Linked DNA regions of Tribolium castaneum. The protein of the gene in region 7 purifies or fractionates together with the protein of the main gene of each other region. This does not show direct contact. Links are inferred from orthologs where the notes say so. Each region holds a gene or a part of one and is shown on either strand. Other genes may lie near its edges. The genes, in order: splicing factor 45, dnaJ homolog subfamily C member 8, U2A, Phf5a, U2 snRNP-associated SURP motif-containing protein, Sf3b6 and Sf3b2.

Region 1 (3,037 bases), on a different chromosome or scaffold from region 7:
CAAGGGCCGCTTTTTTCGTTGAAAATTTCCCAATATATTCCTCAATTGAATTACCCCTAAATTTCTCCCCATGTAACTGGGCGTAAAGCTCAACCAAAGCATTGGCCTCATCAATATGCTCGCTTTCAATGAGGTCAAGTAATAAATTATCAATCATTTTATGCCAAGCGATAAAGAAGGCAAAACTACCAAAATGTCTAGTAGACCTAATATCCTCAAATTTATTATTTTCGTTAATGTGTTGGTACGTAACTGAGCAAACTTTCTGGTAGAATTCATCGTTGGGCTCAAACTGCAAGCACGCCCTGTCTAGAATAAAGTTATATTCGCCCCTCTTTAACAAATCGTCTAATTTATCATCCTCGAACATTTTCGGGGGCGTAACTTGCCTCCGAGCTACGGGGAAATACATTTGATTTATTCTATCGCGCGTCGCCCAATCGGCGTCCCTCAACGTCCCCTCAGTGTCCCTCACAAGAATAATCCGCTCAGAATCGGGAACACCGTACGAAATATCAGTAAAAATATAATTAGAGGAGTCCAAACCTTGCAAAGCTGGATCTCGCGACACGACTTTATCGCGAGGTTTACGTACGGCAACAACTGGTGGTATCTGGAGGATTTCGTCAACTTTTCGTTTAGCTTCATCCAAAGCCTCTTGGAGTTGTTCATCAGTCATGAATTTGTAAACTGGTTGTTCTAATTGTCTCCCGCCCAGTTTCCTTTTCCTGTAAACTTTGGCCAAATCTACGCGAGTTAGAGTCGTGAGAAGGGTCTGCACTTCTTTCTTGATGAAAATGGGGCCCGGGTCCGGATTCCCATCTAGAAATCGTGGCCACTTAACCTCGAACTTTTGATTACTTGTTTAAACAATAATACCGTACGGCATGGGTGTGTAACTCAACAGGCGGACGCAGACCACATAGTTGTTGCTCACTGGTGCCCTTATGTCGGTTTTTAATGTACTTGAGAGCAGTTTTTTTGAAAAATAGCGAAACGCGGCCATTTCGGGTTACACGTTTCGCGACTGATTGTTCCCGCCACCGAAAGGTGTCCAAATCGAACGTGCTTTCACGGGCAAAAAAAAACCACCATAATCTCTGCCATAACTTAGATTTTTATACCACGCTTCATTAGCAAAGCACTGGTGGTAATTTCTTGCAGGATTGTTGTTTTTGCGAGCAATCACACGTTTTTCTGACGAAACAGTTTTCGGTAACTTGGGCTTGACTTGACAAGAAGCATAAATATAACCTTAGTTTTGTGGTTCACAGATTTGTTATTTTGAGTGTAACTGATGTTATTTTAACATAATTGGACATGTCTCTGTACGACGACCTGGACGTGAAGGCCCGCGCCACGGAGAAGGTCTCCGGCTGGTCCTCCGGAATCAAACTCCTCCAGTCCCAACTCCAGCTCAAAAAGGCCACAGTAACGCAACCAAAGCGCGAACAACAACGCAAAGTTAGTTTAGCCCCCGTGATAGACTTGAAAAGCAAACGGGACGACGACGACATTTACCCAACGTATCAAAAAGTTAAAAATGAGCCAAGTCTCCCCACACTTAGTTCCTCGGTAACTTACGGTATTGAATACGACTGGAACGTGGACGACGAGTACGACCCTCTATGGCCAAATGAGTTCGATAAAGTCGTGAAAGAATTGCGCGAAAATCGCGAACGAGAAAACGATAAGGAAGAAAAACGGCGAGAGAGGAAACGCAAGTCACGTTTTAGCGACCCTGAGGAGTCGCTCGTGATCCCCACACCACAAATAACACAACCACCGCTTGCTAGCGGATTTGCCGGAAGATGGGCCGAAGAAGACGACGAAATAGAGCCTGTGCAAGCCAAACCCCGGGCTTCAGGTGTGGCAATTGCGCCCCCGCCCAGCCTTCAGGAACCGGCAGAATCCGCCCCAATTTTCCCCAATAAGCCCCCAACTCCCGCCGCCAATTTCGGCTCTTCCGTGGCCGCCAAAATTATGGCGAAATACGGCTTTAAAGAGGGTCAAGGTTTAGGCAAGCAGGAGCAAGGCATGGCGAGTGCTCTCCAAGTGGAGAAGACTTCAAAACGGGGCGGGAGGATTATTCACGAGAAGGAAATTATGGCAGCAGCGACAGCGTCGCCGGTTCTTGAAACACCAGCAAATACACAACAACAAAGCATTACTGAAATTATTAAAAATCCCAGTAAGGTTGTGCTACTGAAAAATATGGTAGGGCCGGGTGAAGTTGACGATGATTTGGAGCCGGAAGTCAAAGATGAATGTAATACGAAATATGGGGAGGTTACAAGCGTAATTATTCATGAAACTCAAGCGGAGAATCCTGAAGAGGCTGTGAGGATTTTTGTGGAGTTTAGGAGGATAGAGAGTGCGATTAAAGCAGTGGTGGACTTGAATGGAAGGTTCTTTGGGGGAAGGCAAGTCAAGGCCAGTTTTTATGACACTGAGAAGTTCGATAATCTTCAGTTGATGGACTAAGTGTTTGTATTGTTTTTTATTTACAAAATAAATTAATGTACGGAATAAATAAATATTTGTCTTGTTAATAAAATGCACAAAATGAATCATTTAAAAATAGAAAAAAAATGCATATTTAATATCAAGCGCTTTTAAACTAATGGTCCTGTGTGAGCATTACGTGAATGAAATGTGTGGAACTAAGCGTTTCTTGCCTAGGACAAAATAATTACTACATCAAGTCCGAAAAAAATGTGATCACGTTTAAGAATAACATTTTTCGAGAATCTTTTTAGTTTTCGAAAAATTTTATTCTAAAAATGACTTCTACTTCATTATTGTTTTTAACTTCATACTGTTCGTTTACAATAAAAGCGACCTATTTTTTACTCAATGGCCACTCAATTTCGCAGTAGAAAAAAATACGTATGCACCTCGTTACACATTTTTGCTCCTCAGCCTGTCGTTGGCGCGTGCACTTTCATATGCGTGTTAAGAGTATTACTTTGCGTGAAACTCATACCACAAATACTGCAAGTGTAGGGCCTTTCCCCTGTATGTATCCTCACATGTA
Region 2 (3,115 bases), on a different chromosome or scaffold from region 7:
AAAACGTTGTGAAGTAGGTAATTAAAACAGTTATTCGTAGGTGGAAAGAGATTCTCAAACGAACAACCTTCACATTTCAAGGCTATATTCTACATAATGCCTCTGGCAACAGAAAATGTGTAAGGCCACGTCTAAAATTAAACGCACGCATGATTAAATTTCACGTTTAGCGAACTTCCTCATTTTAAAATTATAACTCTGTTAAAATCACACATCAAATCAAAAATGACACGGAAATCCATTATTTTCTCTTTAATGATCACAAAAAATTTGGCACTTGCGGACCAGTAAAATATCTTGTCGCATTTATTTAGCTTTGGGTTTGCTTATAGACATATTCGTGTCAGTAGTGCTATAATTAATACAAGAATCCGCCAGTGTATAATAGGCTTAGTTTATATAATTGCCCTAATCTAACTAATTGGAGCCTCTTTTCAATTTCAAATTCACTAACTGAAAGACCATTTTTTTCGTTTAACGATTTTTCAAAACCGACTCGCTTGCTCTGATTCTTCATGTTCAAGCGATTTATAAACTGGAACATACGTCATTGGTTTCTTATTTGGTAATCGTGGAATTTACCACCGCCGACCAGTTGATTGCAATTAAATCAAAGTCCTTAGGAAAAATATGGCTCGCTCCATACTTCCGAACCCAAATTTATATTCAATAAAATAAAATTATCTTGTTTTCTTTTGTCTAATAACTCCGTTATCACGATAAAATAAAACCACATTACCTCAAATAAAAGGTTTATCTTGGTCTAATGTCCGTGACTAGTAAAGTTTATTGCAAGGGTTGTTGAGAAAATAATCTTTTTGGTAATAGCCACTGCGTCTATCTTGCCGGCAAACATGCACTTTCGTGCTGAGATAATTGTTGCATTCATCAAAAAACTCGCCGACCTATCCCAATAAAAATAATGTTCCAAGCGTAACGAAAGTGCATCAAGTAAATATTGCAAAACAAAAACGCTTTGCATAATTCATACGAAAACACAAAATTTTGCAGCGTTTTAACGCCGCACCCGCTGGTAATTTTGTTCAAAACCAGACAATGATGAATAAAACGCGATAATTTGCCTCGAATGTCTGGCCTCCAGTATCATCGTTTTTATTTGACCTCTAAAGTTACATTAATATTGTTAAGTGTGTAGATATCAACTCTTATCGAGCTTATCAGAATATCCACATTGTGTTATGGCAGCATAAATGAAAATTACTAATTCCAGCAATTTGACAACAGCGTATCACTTTTTCATAAAGTTTTACAAAAACAATCGGAGCAGTATTTTAAATTTTGGCGCAATATTTTGGTAATTCAATTGAGGCGACATCTCAAGCCGGGAGTGGGTTTCATGACGACCGGGTACAGGAATCTATCTGTTCGTCGGTAATTCAGAACTGCCACCAGCTTCACGAAAATTATCATAGACGGAAGACTCAAAATGCGTCAAAAAAGATCCATTCCTCCATCATAAAAATAACAACAAACTTAAAAATAGTGCACATTGTTAAAACACGCGAAAATGGCAGAGAAGAGCCCGAAAGAGGACCCAAAATTCGACGAGTTCTACACAGAGGTAAGCTCTCTGTTGGGCCTTTCTTTGAGACAACTCTGTGTTTGTCCCAATTTTTAGGTGAAAGAAATCGAAAAACGTGACTCTGTTCTAACTTCTAAGCAACAAATTGAGCGTCTTTTGCGCCCCGGCTCCACCTATCTCAACCTAAACCCGTTTGAAGTGCTACAAGTTGAGCCTGAGACCCCCATTGAGGAGGTGAAGAAGCAGTACCGAAAGCTGTCGTTTTTGGTGCATCCTGACAAGAATCAGGACGATGCCGAACGGGCGCAACAGGCTTTTGAGGCAGTGAACAAGGCCTGGAAGATCTTGAACAATCCTGAGACCAGGCAAAAGTGCATGGACATTATTGAGGAGGCTAAGGGTAGAACCGACATTATGGTACGTATTTGAGGGTGGAGTGTTGTTTACGATGAAATAGCTTGAGACACGACGTTTTTGTATTAACATTGTTTGTAGCTTGCCGAGAAGCGAAAGAAATATAAAAAAGAAGGAAAAGACAAAATCCCAGAGGATGATCCTGATAAATACAAACATGCCGTTTATGTTCTCACAATGAAACTGTTTGCAGATATGGAAAGGAAACGGCGTGAATTAGCGGAAAGAGATCAGGAAGAGAGAAAGAGAAAAAGAGAACAGGAAATTGAGGAAGAAGAGAATCAGAAAGCTCAAAAAGAGTGGCAGAAGAATTTTGAGGTAACTACACCCACTGGTATTAACATGAGTTGAGCAAGTATAACATTTTTGTTGCAGGAATCTAGGCAAAATCGGGTTGAAAGTTGGCAGTCTTTCCAAGCCAATTCAAAATCAAAAACTAAAAAAGCGAGTAAAAAGATCAAAACGTTTAAACCGCCGAAAAATAAGCCAGAATCTAGATAATTTCATACTAACGTCATGTAGGATAGTTTATTCATTGATTTGTGTTGTAATTTGTTACTCTGGATGCACTTGTGTGTATACAAAACAGATCATATTATTTTATACTAAAATATTTTGTAGAATTATTTTATTTTAAAAATAAAGGATGTGTCTAAAAGTTTGGCGTGTTTGTAAGCGTCCTCAAATTTCCCCAAATTCCAAGCCATAAAGTATTAAATTAACATTTAATTTTTAATTTAAAGCGCGCACAAGACCTAGAACTCGATGTTTTTTAAATCGGCAAATCATCCAATTTTATTTTAAATTTAATAAGAAATCACATAACTATTTAACTTTTACAAGAAATAAAACTATGAACGATTACACTCATCTTTTTAAATAAAGATTAAAGACGATAGAAATTTAACAGACTTTATTAAACGAAATCCCATAAAATACTTACGTATTTGTACATAACTTTATTATTGTACATACATATTACGTTACATCTTAAATATATAAACACTATAAAAATAATTTTACGTATGTAAAGTGCAATACGTATTACATTTAAGAAATGCTCTAATTAGTTAAATTAATTAGTATTATTTGTCCACCAATAACCACTGAAGGTTTAGAGCATTCTTGCCAGGAAAAAAGAGAAGAAAGATGAGGTAA
Region 3 (2,915 bases), on a different chromosome or scaffold from region 7:
TGATGTTATTTTATTAAATACTTTTTGAAACGAATTTCAAATCAGCGCGATCGGCTCGAAAGTTGACAATGCAGCTAATTATGATTCACCTTTTTGTAAACATGGAATTTAACTCAGGGGAAGTCCTTGCCTAAGGACTGCCGACCGGAAGCGAGCGCAGCCTTCTCACATATTTTCGGTAACGACCGCAGGCTGCATTTCCATAATTATTTAATAAAGTGGGATATTTATAGACGCTGTGTATGCAGCGCTGCTAAATTAGGCGATTTGCAGTACTGTTCCGAAGACACTCGCACTTTTATTCCAATTAGCATAAGTAAACAAGGCAACAATTGCATTCTTTCAGGTGGGTGGCATTATACAATTATTACACATTGCGTATTTAAAGTGGGTCCTTCAGAAATTTGTGATGTGAGAAACCTTTCCCTCAAGTACAATTCGGCTCACAATTAATTATCATCAGGTGGTAATAAATCTTATCGCGAAACGCGCATTCTTCAAGTCTCATTAGCTCGGAAAAGTCACAAGGAAATTTTCTTCCAGATTAAGAATGGAACGAGTTTTATCACTCATCGGCGCGTAATTGGTGTAAGTTCAATGGAAATAAACCCGTTCGGTTTGGATAAACATTTGTGACGTCAATGAATAATTTGGCTCTTGTTTTTTGCTCTAAGGGGAAGTGAAGAAGACAATGGCTTGATTCGTTTCACGAAATCATTTTTTGATTAATTAATGACGATGCGGGGAATCCGACAGATAATAATACTTCAAACGTACATTCCACACATTCATTGTGTTTTTCTTATTGTTTAGCAACTTTTTTTAGCCAGAATTAGCATATTTGTGACCAACACAAATCGCTGAAATAAGTGTTGGCAGACGTGTTTTTGTATATAGTGAAGCCTTTGAATCCGAGCCATTTTTGTTTGGGGTTTTCCCGATTATGAAATTAATTTTTTCTTACCTAATTAAAATAAATAAATAACTGAAGCAGGACTTTTTATTACAAAATACAATAATGTAACATACGGAGTATATTATCAAATTATCATTATCAGCTGTTAACAGTTAAAAGTAAGTTTGTTTTTCGGGTTAGAAGGGGTTCGGATTAACGACGTTTTCCTGTATTTTTTCATATTTAGATTCCATGTTTTGATACAAAAATTAAATTATTAATTATTTGGTCCCAATGATTGATATTTATTGCTTCATCTTAATTTTGGAAATTTTTGGAAATTCAGGGAAATTGCGTTTGGGGCGCTCTCTACAGGTATTCGTGTAACAATTACAGAAACCTGTAACGGTAGTCGGTGAAATTGATGGCTTGTGCGTTGTTTGTTTAATTGTAATTTTTCGCTAAAACCTAATTATGGTGAAGCTAACAGCCGAGCTGATTCAAAATTCCATGCAATACATAAATCCGGTAAAAGACCGCGAGTTGGACTTACGAGGTGAGGACCAAATGTAAAAAAGTTGGGTTAAGTCATCTTTTTTTAGGTTATCGCATCCCCGAAGTGGAAAATCTGGGGGCCACCGGTGACCAGTTCGACACAATTGACTTTTCGGACAATGATGTGCGCAAGTTGGATGGTTTTCCGTACTTGAAGCGGTTGAAATGTTTGCTTTTTAACAATAACCGTATTGTGTAAGTTGTGGGGTTTTTTCGTTTTTTTTTTTTGAGTTTTGGGGTTTTAGACGCATTGGGGAGCATTTGGAGGAGTACATTCCTAATTTGGAGACGCTGATTTTGACTGGGAACCACTTGGAAGAGCTGGGTGATATTGAGCCGTTGTGCACTTTGGAGAAGCTCACCACAGTTAGTCTTTTACATAACCCTATCACTTCCAAGCAGCATTACAGGCTATACCTAATTTATAAGTTACCGCAGTTAAGGTTGCTCGATTTTCGTAAAGTCACAGCTAAGGAACGGGAAGAGGCGAGGGCTCTGTTTAAGAGTAAGAAAGGCAAGGAGATTAGGAAAGAAATTGGGAAAAGGGCAAAGACGTTTATTCCCGGAGGTACAGGTAACAGTATTGCCAAAAGTAAAGGTACGTCTTACATTTTCTGTGAGTTTTATTTTTTCAATTTAATTATTTTTTCAAGGCCTTACAGACGAAGAAATTGCGAAAATTCGTGAAGCTATCAATAAGGCCAGTTCTTTGGAAGAGGTTGAACGGTTACAGAAGATTTTACAGTCTGGTCAAATTCCTGGTCAAGAAGAAATGAACGGTTAATTTTTTCTATGATTTATTGTGGGAAATGTAATATTTTTTTTCAGGATATCAAAATGGACAAAGTATGGAATATGAATAAGTTTGAGGTAATTTTCAGTCAGGTGTACAATTAATTAGTTTTATTTATAAGTTCCGGTTGATAAGAGTATTGTACTACACTAAATACAAGGTTGAGAAGCGAGCGGAATTAATTTTTCATTTTTTCTAATAAAGCAATACGTACAATAACTGGGTATTATTTCAATCTTTCCCGACTGAAACAATGCCTTTCTGGCAAGATTTATCTGTTTCAGAAATTAATTGAACGAAATAAGCTAACAACAAATTTTGTTTTGCAGCTAATTTTTCGAAGAAAATTAGTTTTTAGTTTTCACAGCGAGCAAAAGTAATGTTAATTACAGAAATAAACCAGTTTTTTAAATTTTGCGGATTTTAAATTTGTCTGTAAACATGTAAAAAATAAAAAATTGTTTTTATCTCAAAACCGTCTTGCGAATACTTTTTAGTGGCTACTCGTGTCATTTTAAGAGCGCCTTGGAAATTGTGTCTAAAGTGACCGAAATACTTTTCAAAGTGTGTGGTAATAGTGGTTTTAGAATATTTCAAAGTTCAAATAAATTTTTTCATTTCAGAATGTTTTAGTTGATTTGGAATTATTTCTATAACAATTCGCGTCACTTA
Region 4 (2,532 bases), on a different chromosome or scaffold from region 7:
ACTTATACCATTTCTAACTTTATGATAATTTTTGGTGGCTTGTTTGTTTCTAAACATTCACTAAGAACTTGATAACGATAAAATATTGTTCGCGGTAGACGAAAGTCCGTAACTGAATCTGAAGCGCACACGCGCTTTAAATAAATCCTGGACTAGTTCAGGATTAGTTCTAAAAACCTTCCGCGAACAAAGCTGATAACATATGACGCTGACACTAATAAATCCTTCAAAACATGTCAATTTTTGTCATTTTTTCGAAGACAAAAAGCCGCTGCCATTATCAAAATCATATGATGGCAGTAAAAAATATTGTAGATGGCACACATGAATATGAAATTTTGTCTATTCACAAACATTATCATACTCGGAATTGCCTCGCGCGTTAAACTACTTTTTTTCCTTGATTTTTTCATTATAGAAAACTAGGAAAACAGTGCAAAAACAAAATTAAAAAAAAGATTTTTTTTAATATGATAACAGGAAAATTGACTGACTGATAATAAATTTTATGATTTATTTTAATTACACAAAATCACATTAGCGCCGCTTAAACCCGTATTTCTTACGCTCATAGAAGAGGTCAGTCTTCGAACTACCCAGATTCACAATTTTGGGGCACCCATCCCTGTCTTTCTCCTGAATTGTGCATTCCTTACAGTAGTAAGCGTCTGAAATACCTGGACCTCCACAAATCACGCATCTGCCCTGATACGAACCGTAGTTACACTCGTCACAAATCCTCACTAAAGTGCAGGGACGCACGTACGAATCGCAAATAACGCATTTTCCGTCACACTTCTCACAGAGCCTCCCTATGGCCACCCCCGGCTGCTTGCGACAAAAAATCAAATCGGGGTGATGCTTGGCCATGCTTCAGTGATCTACAAATCTTGTTTCAACAATACTGTTATTCCAAACTCAGGAACTTACCGTAAAACGTGAGAAAACGTTGAGCTTTGTTTCGAGATTTGTTAGGTTATGTGTACAACAGTTGACAGTTGAACTGGAAGTGTCGACAGTTACGCCAGCTAGACGTTCTTATTTTCGTGTCAAATGATTAATTAATTGTCGAATTTTGATTTGAGTATTACGGAAGCACAAACTAATTTCTATATAACTTAAGAATCGTGACCACATTCAACAAATAAATAAATAAATTTAAATTTTGACACCAGACACTAGTAATTTCATTTCATCAAGTTGCTGAGTTCGTTAAGTTGGCAACACTACTATAAAAAATCAAAAAGTGATTGATTCCCTTTGAACGTTAGGCTCCAATTTGCCGAAACTGAAGCGATTTCAACAATGAATTCGATGTTTTCCTCACCCGCAATCCACGTTTTCTCCCAAGAAAGTGAGTATTTGATGTTCGGTGAAATAATCTTCAAGTGTCGTTTTTAGACGTTGGAAGTGTGGCAAAAAAGCCAAGAACCACTAACACCCTATCAAGAAAACCGTTTTTTGATCGAGCCGTGAATGCAAACACGCCTGATTTTGGCAGAAATGTGAAACCCGAGCCGCAACTGAAAAAGCCTGAGCAAAATATTGACATAGAAGATGATGACTTATTTATTTACGACACTTACTCCTTCAAGGATATGAACGGTTTTCACCGAGATTTGTGTGTGACGAAATCTGATTTCTGGTTTTAGATGATTGCGCTGCTGATAAATTAATTACTGCAAAGGAAAAATTCAACAAGCTGCGACCATGTTGTGGTTACAAGGAGTTGACTCCATCTCCAAAGTTATCACCTGTTGATTTTGATATGTTTATTAAGATTCCGAAAACTATCAAGTTTTCTGTAAAGTCTGAAGACAGTTACGACATGACCGATGAAAGTGAGCACATTTCACTGCCGGACATTGATTTTTATTAAACCCTTATAAGTGGTATTTTTGTATTGATTTATCTTAAATAAAGAGATTTGAGTTTCAAAATTTTATTGAAAATATCTTTGCTGCGAAGCTACATGTTACATCTAAGAGTATTTAAACCACATCTTCCTTGAAGTGAAGAATGTTTCTCTTGACTAATTGTCCGTAAAATAGTACTTTTCCGAAATGAATGTGTGTAATGTTGGTTGCATAATATTTGAATAAGCTCAGAAATATTAGGTAGTAATAAATTCGATTTTGATCAGTAAAAAATAATAAGTGATCAGTATTTTAATAATTTTTGCACAGTAAAAAATTTAAATGACAAGTAAACCACGCACAGTATTTTATTAAAATTTGTCCAGTACAAAAATCGTATATGCACAGTATCTTGTTCAGTTTGCACAGTTTAAATAATACACGCTCAGTAGCTAGCTTGCAGGCTAGGGCTTCGCCCCAGCGAACTAAAAGGAAACATACCCCTCCAACAATTAAACTCAAAAATGTAAAACTCAAAATGTGGAATTCCACACTCTCTACATAATTTTGAGATTCTATTATTGATTGTGCATGTATTATTTTTACTTTACCAAAGCCAGTAGATATACTAAAGTAGCGACACGGACCTTGACAGGGCAACAATAACGATTATACA
Region 5 (2,670 bases), on a different chromosome or scaffold from region 7:
GATGCCCGATGAACTAGTGAACGACGACGAGGGTAAAGAGAGTACGAAAGGCTCCCTCTCTAACACGTACGTAACGCGTGAAAATATGCAAAAACTAAGATTTGATTTACAGGCAACGAGACCGCTTGGAAGACCTGATACGGTCCCTAACCCCCGAACGGAGCAAAATCGGCGAAGCTATGGTCTTCTGCATTGAACACAGTGACGCTGCTGAGGAAGTGGTCGAGTGTATCACCGAATCACTATCAAACTCCTCAACCCTCATCACGAAAAAAATCGCCAGACTTTACCTCGTGTCGGATATTTTGCACAACTGCGGCGTCAAAGTCAACAATGCGTCTTACTACCGCAAGGCGTTTGAGTCAAAACTTGTGGATATAATGACCGAAGTGAAGAAGTCCTACGACAAGTTGGAAGGGCGGTTGCAGGCCGAGGGTTGCAAGCTGCGCGTTTTGCGGATATTGCAGGCGTTGGACGACTCGATTTACCACAAGGATTACGTGAACAAATTACGAACCGTGTTTTTGGGTATCAAGGAACCGGTCAGGGTAAAAAAGAGTGGGGTTTTGCGGGTTAGTGTTTCACGCTTGTGTTGTTAGGAACCTAAAGAGGACCCCGCTGTTGAGTCAAATATTGATATAGACGGCGATCCGTTGCAAGACCAGCCCGAAACCGACGATGATGTGCCAATGGATGGAGCAACGTTGCTGAAAAGTGCAATGAAACGGTACAAGAACACCACGATTTCGAATGATGATATTGACGGGAAGGAAATTGTCGATGATCCGAACGATGTTGTGCTTAATCAGAAGAAACCACCCGCGCCTTTGTCCGGTTTTATTATGTCAAAGTGGGAAACAATCGACCCGGAACAAGTCGAAGCGCAAGCGATGACCACAAGCAAGTGGGACTTGCTGGGAAGTAGCGCTGATCCCAGTCAGGATGGTTCCTCAAACGACAAGGACGATTCCAATGATTATACCGACACGAGGTTACGTTTTTTGATATCTCTTCATAAATATTTTTACTGTGATCACCATATTAAAGAGTTTTTTTGTCCCTTGACGTGATAACAAAAATATTTCTAAAAAATTATTTTTGCATACCGATTTTTGGAAATACGTTTGCAAAAAATGCTTTATTATTTTCTTTATGCAAGTGATTTTTTTCTATAATTCTATAGATACATATAATTCCAATATTTAATACATTTAAATATTCCAAGTTTTAAGAGTGATTTTCTCCTTGGTCAATTTTTTGTCCCAATTTTAGAAATATGACGGAAGAAAGAAGGAACAAATTGCGAGAAATTGAAGTGAAAGCCGTACAGTACCAAGACGAATTAGAGTCAGGCCAAAGAGCTTTGAAAACCGGGTGGACCTTACCACAACAAGTGGAACACTATCGAAGAAAGTTACTAAAGAAGAGCGAGAAAGAAAGGAAGGAGAAAGACCCGAAAAGCGACAAACACAAAAAAGATGACCGGAAAGAGGACAGCTCAGAGGACGAATTATATTACAAAGAGCTGTAAGTAGAACAATTCAAACAACCGTCAACTAACAAGATCCTTACTAATTTTGTAGTAAATCTAGGAAATCAAAAAAACTTTCGCGCAGCTCGTCAAGCGGTTCCACGTCCAAACACAGGTAAAATTTTATGCTTTACATTATTTTCCCAATAACTACTGTATATCCTAGGTCGAAAAGTCGTTCGCCTCCGAGGAAGAAAGCTTTTCGAGGGCCGAGTCCGCCCAGCCCCCCTCACATCCGGCGTCAGTCGCCCTCCTCGTCCCGATCCCGCAAGTCCAAAGATTCCCTCTCTCCGATTAGTTCCTCAAATGGTAAATATGGTTCACCAGCTCGTGTGGCGAAAAGTCGGCGATCACCGTCACCTTCACGTACAAAAAGTAATCGTAGATCGACTTCTCCGCGAAATCGGAGATCTCCGTCTCCGAGAAGTCGTCGTGGGAGCACGTCACCGTACCGGTCCAGGTATCACTCGCCGGAGTCTTCAAGAAAACATCGACACAAACACAAATACTGAGAGCGATATTTTATTACGAATAATTGAGGTATTGAACACACGCTCAATAATATTGAAAGGAGTTTATTATGTTGTCTTCAATTACTTTTTTTCTTTTACAAATACAATGGATCTTTACGCCTTCGAAGTTAGCGTTGTTTTGTTTTTTTTATGTAAATCCAACACTAAATAAAAGAAATCACTTGAAAAACCGCTTTATTTTCATAGAAACACAACAAAGTATAAATCAGCAACTAGCTACTTACGCAAGTATTATAAATAAATACAAAAAGAAAACAACAAATCTATCCAAAATTAGGCATTTTTGTTACGCAATATAACTGCGTTAATATGGCACGTTAAACGAAAAAACAGGCTGTTTTGAACACTCTAAATGAAACACAATTATTTCTTCGATTTCGATTTCTTTCCACCTCCACTTCCTTTACGAGGTGGAGGAGTGGGCGATGCTACAGATGCGGCACCTTGTGCTGTTTCAGGTTTCGACTGTTTTGATTCAGGTTTGCCTTTTCCAGCTTCCGCAGGCGCAGCTGCGGCTGGAGGCGGCTGTTGTGCAACCGCAGCTGGAGCTGTCTGTGGTGTTTGTTGTTCTGCAGCTGCAACTGGCGGTGTTTGCGGTGCAGCAGG
Region 6 (2,518 bases), on a different chromosome or scaffold from region 7:
AATGATTTAGAAAAATTGCGTCGACAAGACATTGCCCAACATGTTCGAGCAGCGGCCGGAGTGGCAGCAGAGCAATTACCAGACTATTTAAACGAATGTTCCATTGTGTATTTACCAGAAATGGGACATTTGGTTGCGATAAACGAATGGAAACCGAATTGCGATCCCGAGGAATTGAAAGATTTAGGATTTCAATTCATGGTAAGAAAATTCCTAAGGCGATTTATCACTTATTGGGTATTTTGTAGTTCACGTTGCGTGGAACAATCCATTACAAGAATCCACTATGTTTAGGTATAAAAAATTTAAATTTATTGTTTTTCTATCATTTTAATTTAGAATTGGACGAAAACCTTGGCGACATTAATGCCGAAATAATCGCCCACGAAAATCGCATTTTGCAACGCCTTTCCTCCTTCATTCTCAAATACAACAAGGATATTAGAGAGCCTCTTAGAGTCTTATCGCTGTTTGATGCGTACGATTTTATTGATTTTTTCTCCCAATTATACACAATTTTTAGTTTGATAGCAATAGCGAAAGTCTCGGCACAAAATAATTACGTCCGACCTGCTTTAAACAACCAAAATATGCACGAAATCCGCGAGTGTCGTCACCCTCTCCTCGAGCTGGTCTCAAATTTCGAGCCCAATGACTTTTGCTCGGGGAATCACCACAGTCACATTAAAATAATCACGGGGCCTAACGGCAGTGGCAAAAGTGTGTATTTGAAGGAAGTAGCCCTCGTTATTTACTTTGCCCACATTGGCTCCTACGTGCCTGCCAGGAGCGCCAACATCGGGATTTTGCATTGCATACATTCCAGAATGCAAGCGACGGAATCGGCAGCCGTGCGCCTATCTGCATTTATGATTGACGCAATCCAGGTCTGTATAAAATTTTGCGAAAAAATTAATCGTAAATTAGGCCACGCAAGCGATTCATAACGCGCGCCACAACTCTCTGATCTTATTGGACGAGTTTGGCCGGGGAACCACCGTGGAGGATGGACTTGCTTTACTGGTCGGCTTTCTGGCCGACTTTCACAAACAAGGCAATAACTGCCCTCACATACTTGTCTCGACGCACCACCAAAGCATTTCTGATTTTTTACCGGAAGATGGTGTTGTTGAATATTTGAAAATGGCACATTCGGAGGAAAATGGGACACTTTTGTTCCTTTATAAAGTGGCGAAAGGTGTTTCGAGGAGTTTTGCGATAAAAATTGCGGCCGAAGTTGGCGTGGATGCGAGTATTATCAAACGGGCAAACGAATTGTTTGAAAAAAAGAAAACAGTCACGCCATTAGTCCGTTGTGAGAGTTATCCGGCTTCCGTTAATGATAGTGCGTTGATTGCGTTTTTAAAAGATGTTAATATTCCGGAACCAGATGAGGCATAATTGTGTTTGAATATCCCGCTTTAGTTTTGTTAATTGTTGGGTTGGTACGTGTTACGTTGGCGATCGTGTTGTTCAGTCAATAAAAACGTTTGTGTGAGTTTGTTTTTGTATTTAATTCATTGAAGCAAATTAAAAAAACGCCACAATGGCTTTGGCTATGCAAAGAAAGGCAAACGTAAGTCGTTAAATACCAAAAATTTGACCCAAAAAATGTTTTTTTTTATAGGTTAGGTTGCCCCCAGAAATCAACCGAATTCTCTACATCCGCAATCTCCCCTATAAAATAACAGCCGAAGAAATGTACGATATTTTCGGTAAATATGGGGCTATCAGGCAAATCCGCGTCGGTAATACCCCGGAAACTAGAGGCACAGCTTTTGTGGTTTATGAGGACATTTTTGACGCAAAAAACGCTTGTGACCATTTGTCCGGCTTTAATGTTTGTAATCGGTATTTAGTGGTTTTGTATTATCAGGCGAGTAAAGCGTTCAAGAAGACCGATATTGAGAAGAAACAGGAAGAGATTGATAAGATGAAATCAAAATACGGAATTAATACGTAAACATATTGTATTGTACATAATTTTAAGCTTTTTAAATAAATAATTACAATGAGAATGATTTTTATATCTAACGCAATTAAATCTCCCTTTAAATTCCCTTTCAATTCAGGGTGAGTCTGCTAAGAGTTTTTTTTTATGGGTACAAATTAAATGCACAGTATTTTATTTAAACGACAAGTATTTTTGATCAGTAAAAATAATAAACGCACAGTAAAAATAATAAACGCACAGTTAAAATAATAAATGCACAGTAATAATAGTAAATGCTCAGTAAAAATAGTAAATGCTCAGTAAAAATAATAAATGCACAGTAGATAATAGCATCTCAAAAATCGTTCGCGGGATATGTTTCGTTTTAGTTCGATGGGGCGAAGCCCCAGCCTGCAGGCTATCTATTGAGCGTTTATTATTTAAACCGTGTAAACTGAAACTAGATACTGTGCATATACGATTTTTTTACTGGGTAAATTTTAATAAAATACTGTGCGTGGTTTTGTCATTTAAATTTTTTACTGAGTAAAAATGGATTAAATACTGATCATTTATTATTTCTAC
Region 7 (4,215 bases):
TTTTTTTCTTTTTTCGCCGTTGAAGCAACAAAATTAAATTTGGGCAAATCAATGGTAGGACTGATCTTCTCTGTAGTAGTCTTTTCCTGCACTTCAATGTAGCTTGAACTTCCCTCATCTTCATTCACAGGACTCAAGTTTACAGACTTGCAATTTTCAAAAGATTTTGAATCTTCAATTTCCCTAAACGAAGAAAACTTTCCTTTCCCACTTTCGTCCGCTTCCAAAGAAGACAAATTCTGTTTTTTGGTCTTTGGTGTCTTGCTTGAAGCAACAAAATTGGGGAAAGTACCATTGCTAGGACTATTTTTCTCTGTAATACGTCCATCTTGTGTACTCTTCTCGTTGACTTCAATGTAGCTTGAACTTCCCTCATCTTCATTTAAAGGGCTCAAATTTACGCTCTTGCAATTTTCTGACGGTTCTTCAAGAGATTTAAAATCTTCAATGTCTCTAAACGAAGAAAACTCTCCTTTCCCACTCTGTCTTTTGACCTTTGGTGTCTTGCCATGTTTATTTTCTTTTTTCACGTGTCCATCTTGAGCCATTTTCTCCGTGACTGTGATGAAACGTGAACTTCCCTCACCATCACTCACAAGATTTACAGAATTTTCGGAAGATTTCTCCTTCAAACTTTTTGTAGTGAGATCTAATGTCTCATCATTGCACTTGTCTTCCAGTTCACATTGCTTGGTACTCCTAAGAACTCTCTTAGCTTTGACGATTTTTCTTTTATTTTTTGGTACAGGTGGCGGCGAGATTTTTTGAACTTCCTTGAACAAAAAAGGGCTTCCTTTGTCACTTTTCCCGCTCTCATCGAACTCCAAACGAGGCAAATTCTGTTTATTATGCTTTGACGACGTTGGCTTAATATTTTCGTCTTCTTTTTCCACTGCAGAAGCATTAAAACTGAAGAAAAGCAAATCGTTCGTTTTTCTGACTTTTCGTCCACTTCTTGTTGCTTTGGCACTGCTTAAGGGGCCACTGGTGCTTTCCATTTCAGGTGGATTTAGTTTTTTATTTAAACGTCTGCTGGACCTCACTGACATTTTAATGCAAGCTATAAAACAATTTTTATGTAATTTTCGTATCAAAAAAACTCGGTTTTTACCTTTAACGTTGTGTTAAATCCAATTATTCGCTTTTTATAGTAACTTTACAGTAAACAAGGCACACAAATGACAAACCGACAACAAAACCGTTTTTTTGAATCTGACATTTGAGATTGAGATGCGTGATTGGTCCAAATTAGATTGGCATCTTGTTTGAAAAATAAATTGATTAAATATTTATAAATTATTGTATTTACAAGATGTTAATAGAGAAAGTTGTAACTAACTGGATAAATAACTACTACATTTGATTTATTCTGTATGAAAATTTTGGGAAATGTTTTCGCTTTTGCAGGAAATCGAGCTGTCGCGATTACGGTCGCATTCGCTCTAATTCCAAACAAAAATGTCGACCGAAACGTTGCTGAATGCCGCAATAAATTATTAATAATATTAAAAGTTTGCGGTTTTTCCTCATTGTAGATAAAATTTAACAGACTATCTGTTATAGTAAGTTCGCTTCTTGCTTTGATTCAAACATTTTTTAAGAAATTAGTATGAGAAAGAGGTTATATCAAATTGAGAAAAGTGCTTTTTAGTGTTAGAACAATTCCATAATCCCGTCTCCTTTCAGCTTACGGCTGCAACAAGCACTGATTCTACTGACAAATGAATCCGGATCAGCTACAAGAGGGTGTCCCGGAGCACCCTGTGCCCCACCAGGAAGGGATGTTTGGGTCAGGTATGCAAGGGTGGGCTGGTGAACATGGTAATTGATTGTTTTCAACCAGTTTGTTTATATCGCATTGGACTATTTCAGGTGTTGGTGGTGAAAAACAACTCCCCTCATTGCTATCCCTAAAAGTGGATCCTCCTGATCAGATGATGGAGACGCCACCAACTGAAGTTGTTTTACCTCAAGTGTTGGAAGAGGTGTTGGCGTTAAAAAATCAGAGAGCGCGTGAACTAGAACGAGAAGAAACGGAAACAGTAGTTCAACAGCCGCAGACTCCTAGAGAGGCGCTTTGGGAGAAAGATGACAATATTGTAGCTTTTTTAATTTTTTGTATGAATATAGTTATAACGATTGTTTTTTTAGGAACCCGTGGTTGAAAATGAAGAAGAGAGTCAGGTGAAAGAGACCACCAAAATCAGTAAGAATAAAAAGAAGAAGAAAAGGAAGAAGAACAAGAAAAACAGGGAGAATGAACAGAATAAAGCGGCTGAAGAGGAGGAGAAAAAGGATGGGCAAGAGGATGGGAATACAGATGTGGAAGTTGAGTAGGTGTTTTTTCTATTTGTTTGACAAAATTGTTATGAGTTTAATTAAAGGTACGTCCAAGAGACGATTAGTCTTCTTGAACTGGCTCCACAATACCGGCAGTTTTATAGCATTTTTGACGTGTTTAAAATAACTGATCAAAAGCATGATATCCCACCCCCAGTTCTGGCAACGCCAACATCATTGTCAAGTAAATCAATGTTAAATAGCATAGGAGATCACTTTCAGGAAGAAATGGAAGATGGGGACGACGTAAGTGTTGTATTACATTATGAATAAAAAATATGTATCTATTTTTTTTTCAGAAAAAGCTTGACGATAAGTCAAAAATGTCCAAAAGAAAGCTTAAAAAATTGACGCGACTTAGCGTCGCCGAGCTTAAACAACTAGTCAGTAGACCAGACGTTGTAGAAATGCACGATGTAACAGCCAGGGACCCAAAATTGTTGGTCCAATTGAAAGCTCACAGAAATACCGTTCAGGTAACGATTATAATTTTCTCAAAAATTAAAAGTAATGCAGCCATTCCATGATTACGGACGGCACATAACTATTATTTTAAAAATGGCTTATTAAAAAAAAAAGATGGATTAACAATTTAAATTCATTTTGCCACTTCTAAAAGTTGTTATAAATAATTAGTTACGGATGGGACACAAAAAATTATGCTTTGTAACAATTTTATTATAACACGAAAATGTTAACAAAATTCAGGAACTACTAACAATTAATAAAAAAAGAGAATACCTTTTATTAAATTATTATTAAGAATAGAATTAAGTCGTAAGCTTTGGAAAAATAATTTTCGTCACTACTTCCAATTTGAAAACTCTTAATTTTGCGCACATATAGAATTCTGTAGCATTATTAATTATTATTTTCTTTAGACGAACTTTGTTCCAAACTAAACATTTTACTGAACGCATAAGAAGCAAGGATTTGAATTTTTTATTAAAAAGTGATGTTTTGGAACAAACTTAACAGATTTTTCATAATAATAAAGCAGATGAAAATATATGCGGAGTTAGCAATTGGCTGAATAATGTGTTTTTCAGGTACCACGTCATTGGTGTTTCAAACGAAAGTACTTGCAAGGTAAACGTGGTATAGAGAAACCACCTTTTAATCTTCCAGATTTCATTAAAAGGACTGGAATCATGGAAATGCGTGCGTCATTGCAAGATAAGGATGAATCCAAAACACTCAAAGCTAAAATGCGGGAAAAGACCAGACCCAAACTTGGAAAAATCGATATTGATTATCAAAAATTACACGACGCATTTTTCAAGTACGTTTTTTTTATTTTTGATAAAAGCTAAAATTGCTATTGTTTGTAATTGTGTATTCGTAGAGATTGGGAATAATTGAAAAAGATAGACAGCTGTTTATTTAGAATTTTTTTTATAATCTCATTGTTATTGTTAGGTGGCAAACTAAACCCAAAATGACCATCCATGGGGACCTTTATTACGAGGGCAAAGAGTTTGAAACCAGATTGAAGGAAAAAAAGCCTGGAGATTTATCAGAAGAATTAAGAACGGCCTTAGGAATGCCTGTGGGCCCTAACGCTAATAAAGTACCCCCACCATGGTTGATTGCAATGCAACGTTATGGTCCCCCACCCAGCTACCCCAACTTGAAAATTCCGGGATTAAATGCCCCCATCCCTGATGGTTGTGCCTTTGGGTACCATGCCGGTGGGTGGGGAAAACCACCGGTGGACGAAAATGGAAAACCATTGTACGGTGATGTGTTTGGAACAAATGTTACCAACATAGATGTAAGTATTTTATAATATTGTTTTATTGAATTTTGTTCAAATATCAATGTTTAGGACATTGGTGAGGACCCTTCCGTGGATCGCACCCTCTGGGGCGAGCT

The links.
Region 1: the proteins of Sf3b2 (region 7) and splicing factor 45 purify together in Homo sapiens (co-immunoprecipitation; 4 studies listed by BioGRID and IntAct, counting the BioPlex papers as one, with this or other methods). This does not show direct contact. The link is inferred for Tribolium castaneum from reciprocal best matches to the Homo sapiens genes SF3B2 and RBM17.
Region 2: the proteins of Sf3b2 (region 7) and dnaJ homolog subfamily C member 8 purify together in Homo sapiens (affinity purification with mass spectrometry; 3 studies listed by BioGRID and IntAct, with this or other methods). This does not show direct contact. The link is inferred for Tribolium castaneum from reciprocal best matches to the Homo sapiens genes SF3B2 and DNAJC8.
Region 3: the proteins of Sf3b2 (region 7) and U2A purify together in Homo sapiens (affinity purification with mass spectrometry; 5 studies listed by BioGRID and IntAct, counting the BioPlex papers as one, with this or other methods). This does not show direct contact. The link is inferred for Tribolium castaneum from reciprocal best matches to the Homo sapiens genes SF3B2 and SNRPA1.
Region 4: the proteins of Sf3b2 (region 7) and Phf5a purify together in Homo sapiens (affinity purification with mass spectrometry; 4 studies listed by BioGRID and IntAct, with this or other methods). This does not show direct contact. The link is inferred for Tribolium castaneum from reciprocal best matches to the Homo sapiens genes SF3B2 and PHF5A.
Region 5: the proteins of Sf3b2 (region 7) and U2 snRNP-associated SURP motif-containing protein purify together in Homo sapiens (affinity purification with mass spectrometry; 3 studies listed by BioGRID and IntAct, with this or other methods). This does not show direct contact. The link is inferred for Tribolium castaneum from reciprocal best matches to the Homo sapiens genes SF3B2 and U2SURP.
Region 6: the proteins of Sf3b2 (region 7) and Sf3b6 fractionate together in Homo sapiens (co-fractionation; 5 studies listed by BioGRID and IntAct, with this or other methods). This does not show direct contact. The link is inferred for Tribolium castaneum from reciprocal best matches to the Homo sapiens genes SF3B2 and SF3B6.

The regions. Positions count from the first base shown.
Region 1 is NC_087398.1:1,436,826-1,439,862, forward strand, and holds splicing factor 45, read left to right. Parts: upstream 1-1,189; 5' UTR 1,190-1,320; coding exon 1,321-2,484; 3' UTR 2,485-2,537; downstream 2,538-3,037. Other genes in the region: mRpS22 (small ribosomal subunit protein mS22), read right to left, coding at 1-822, 880-1,006; zinc finger protein OZF, read right to left, coding at 2,919-3,037. UniProt on the Homo sapiens protein: Splice factor that binds to the single-stranded 3'AG at the exon/intron border and promotes its utilization in the second catalytic step. Involved in the regulation of alternative splicing and the utilization of cryptic splice sites.
Region 2 is NC_087397.1:4,880,883-4,883,997, forward strand, and holds dnaJ homolog subfamily C member 8, read left to right. Parts: upstream 1-1,353; 5' UTR 1,354-1,528; coding exon 1,529-1,582; intron 1,583-1,639; coding exon 1,640-1,960; intron 1,961-2,038; coding exon 2,039-2,275; intron 2,276-2,332; coding exon 2,333-2,458; 3' UTR 2,459-2,615; downstream 2,616-3,115. UniProt on the Homo sapiens protein: Suppresses polyglutamine (polyQ) aggregation of ATXN3 in neuronal cells.
Region 3 is NC_087395.1:21,925,022-21,927,936, forward strand, and holds U2A (U2 small nuclear ribonucleoprotein A'), read left to right. Parts: upstream 1-1,283; 5' UTR 1,284-1,369; coding exon 1,370-1,451; intron 1,452-1,497; coding exon 1,498-1,645; intron 1,646-1,695; coding exon 1,696-2,048; intron 2,049-2,103; coding exon 2,104-2,229; intron 2,230-2,278; coding exon 2,279-2,313; 3' UTR 2,314-2,415; downstream 2,416-2,915. UniProt on the Homo sapiens protein: Involved in pre-mRNA splicing as component of the spliceosome. Associated with sn-RNP U2, where it contributes to the binding of stem loop IV of U2 snRNA.
Region 4 is NC_087395.1:6,324,863-6,327,394, forward strand, and holds Phf5a (PHD finger-like domain-containing protein 5A), read right to left. Parts: upstream 1,084-2,532; 5' UTR 931-1,083; intron 890-930; exon of another isoform or gene 882-889; 5' UTR 871-881; coding exon 538-870; 3' UTR 501-537; downstream 1-500. Other genes in the region: uncharacterized protein LOC655475, read left to right, coding at 1,306-1,354, 1,402-1,605, 1,653-1,879.
Region 5 is NC_087403.1:341,258-343,927, forward strand, and holds the end of U2 snRNP-associated SURP motif-containing protein, read left to right. Parts: coding exon 1-66; intron 67-112; coding exon 113-548; intron 549-599; coding exon 600-991; intron 992-1,272; coding exon 1,273-1,527; intron 1,528-1,583; coding exon 1,584-1,646; intron 1,647-1,697; coding exon 1,698-2,043; 3' UTR 2,044-2,170; downstream 2,171-2,670. Other genes in the region: proteoglycan 4, read right to left, coding at 2,428-2,670.
Region 6 is NC_087395.1:21,527,768-21,530,285, forward strand, and holds Sf3b6 (splicing factor 3B subunit 6), read left to right. Parts: upstream 1-1,417; 5' UTR 1,418-1,546; coding exon 1,547-1,576; intron 1,577-1,627; coding exon 1,628-1,963; 3' UTR 1,964-2,018; downstream 2,019-2,518. Other genes in the region: mutS protein homolog 5, read left to right, coding at 11-201, 249-294, 340-887, 928-1,401.
Region 7 is NC_087396.1:14,198,314-14,202,528, reverse strand, and holds the start of Sf3b2 (splicing factor 3B subunit 2), read left to right. Parts: upstream 1-1,415; 5' UTR 1,416-1,562; intron 1,563-1,686; 5' UTR 1,687-1,721; coding exon 1,722-1,821; intron 1,822-1,872; coding exon 1,873-2,099; intron 2,100-2,151; coding exon 2,152-2,333; intron 2,334-2,384; coding exon 2,385-2,586; intron 2,587-2,639; coding exon 2,640-2,816; intron 2,817-3,389; coding exon 3,390-3,622; intron 3,623-3,759; coding exon 3,760-4,114; intron 4,115-4,168; coding exon 4,169-4,215. Other genes in the region: uncharacterized protein LOC103313715, read right to left, coding at 1-1,049. UniProt on the Homo sapiens protein: Component of the 17S U2 SnRNP complex of the spliceosome, a large ribonucleoprotein complex that removes introns from transcribed pre-mRNAs.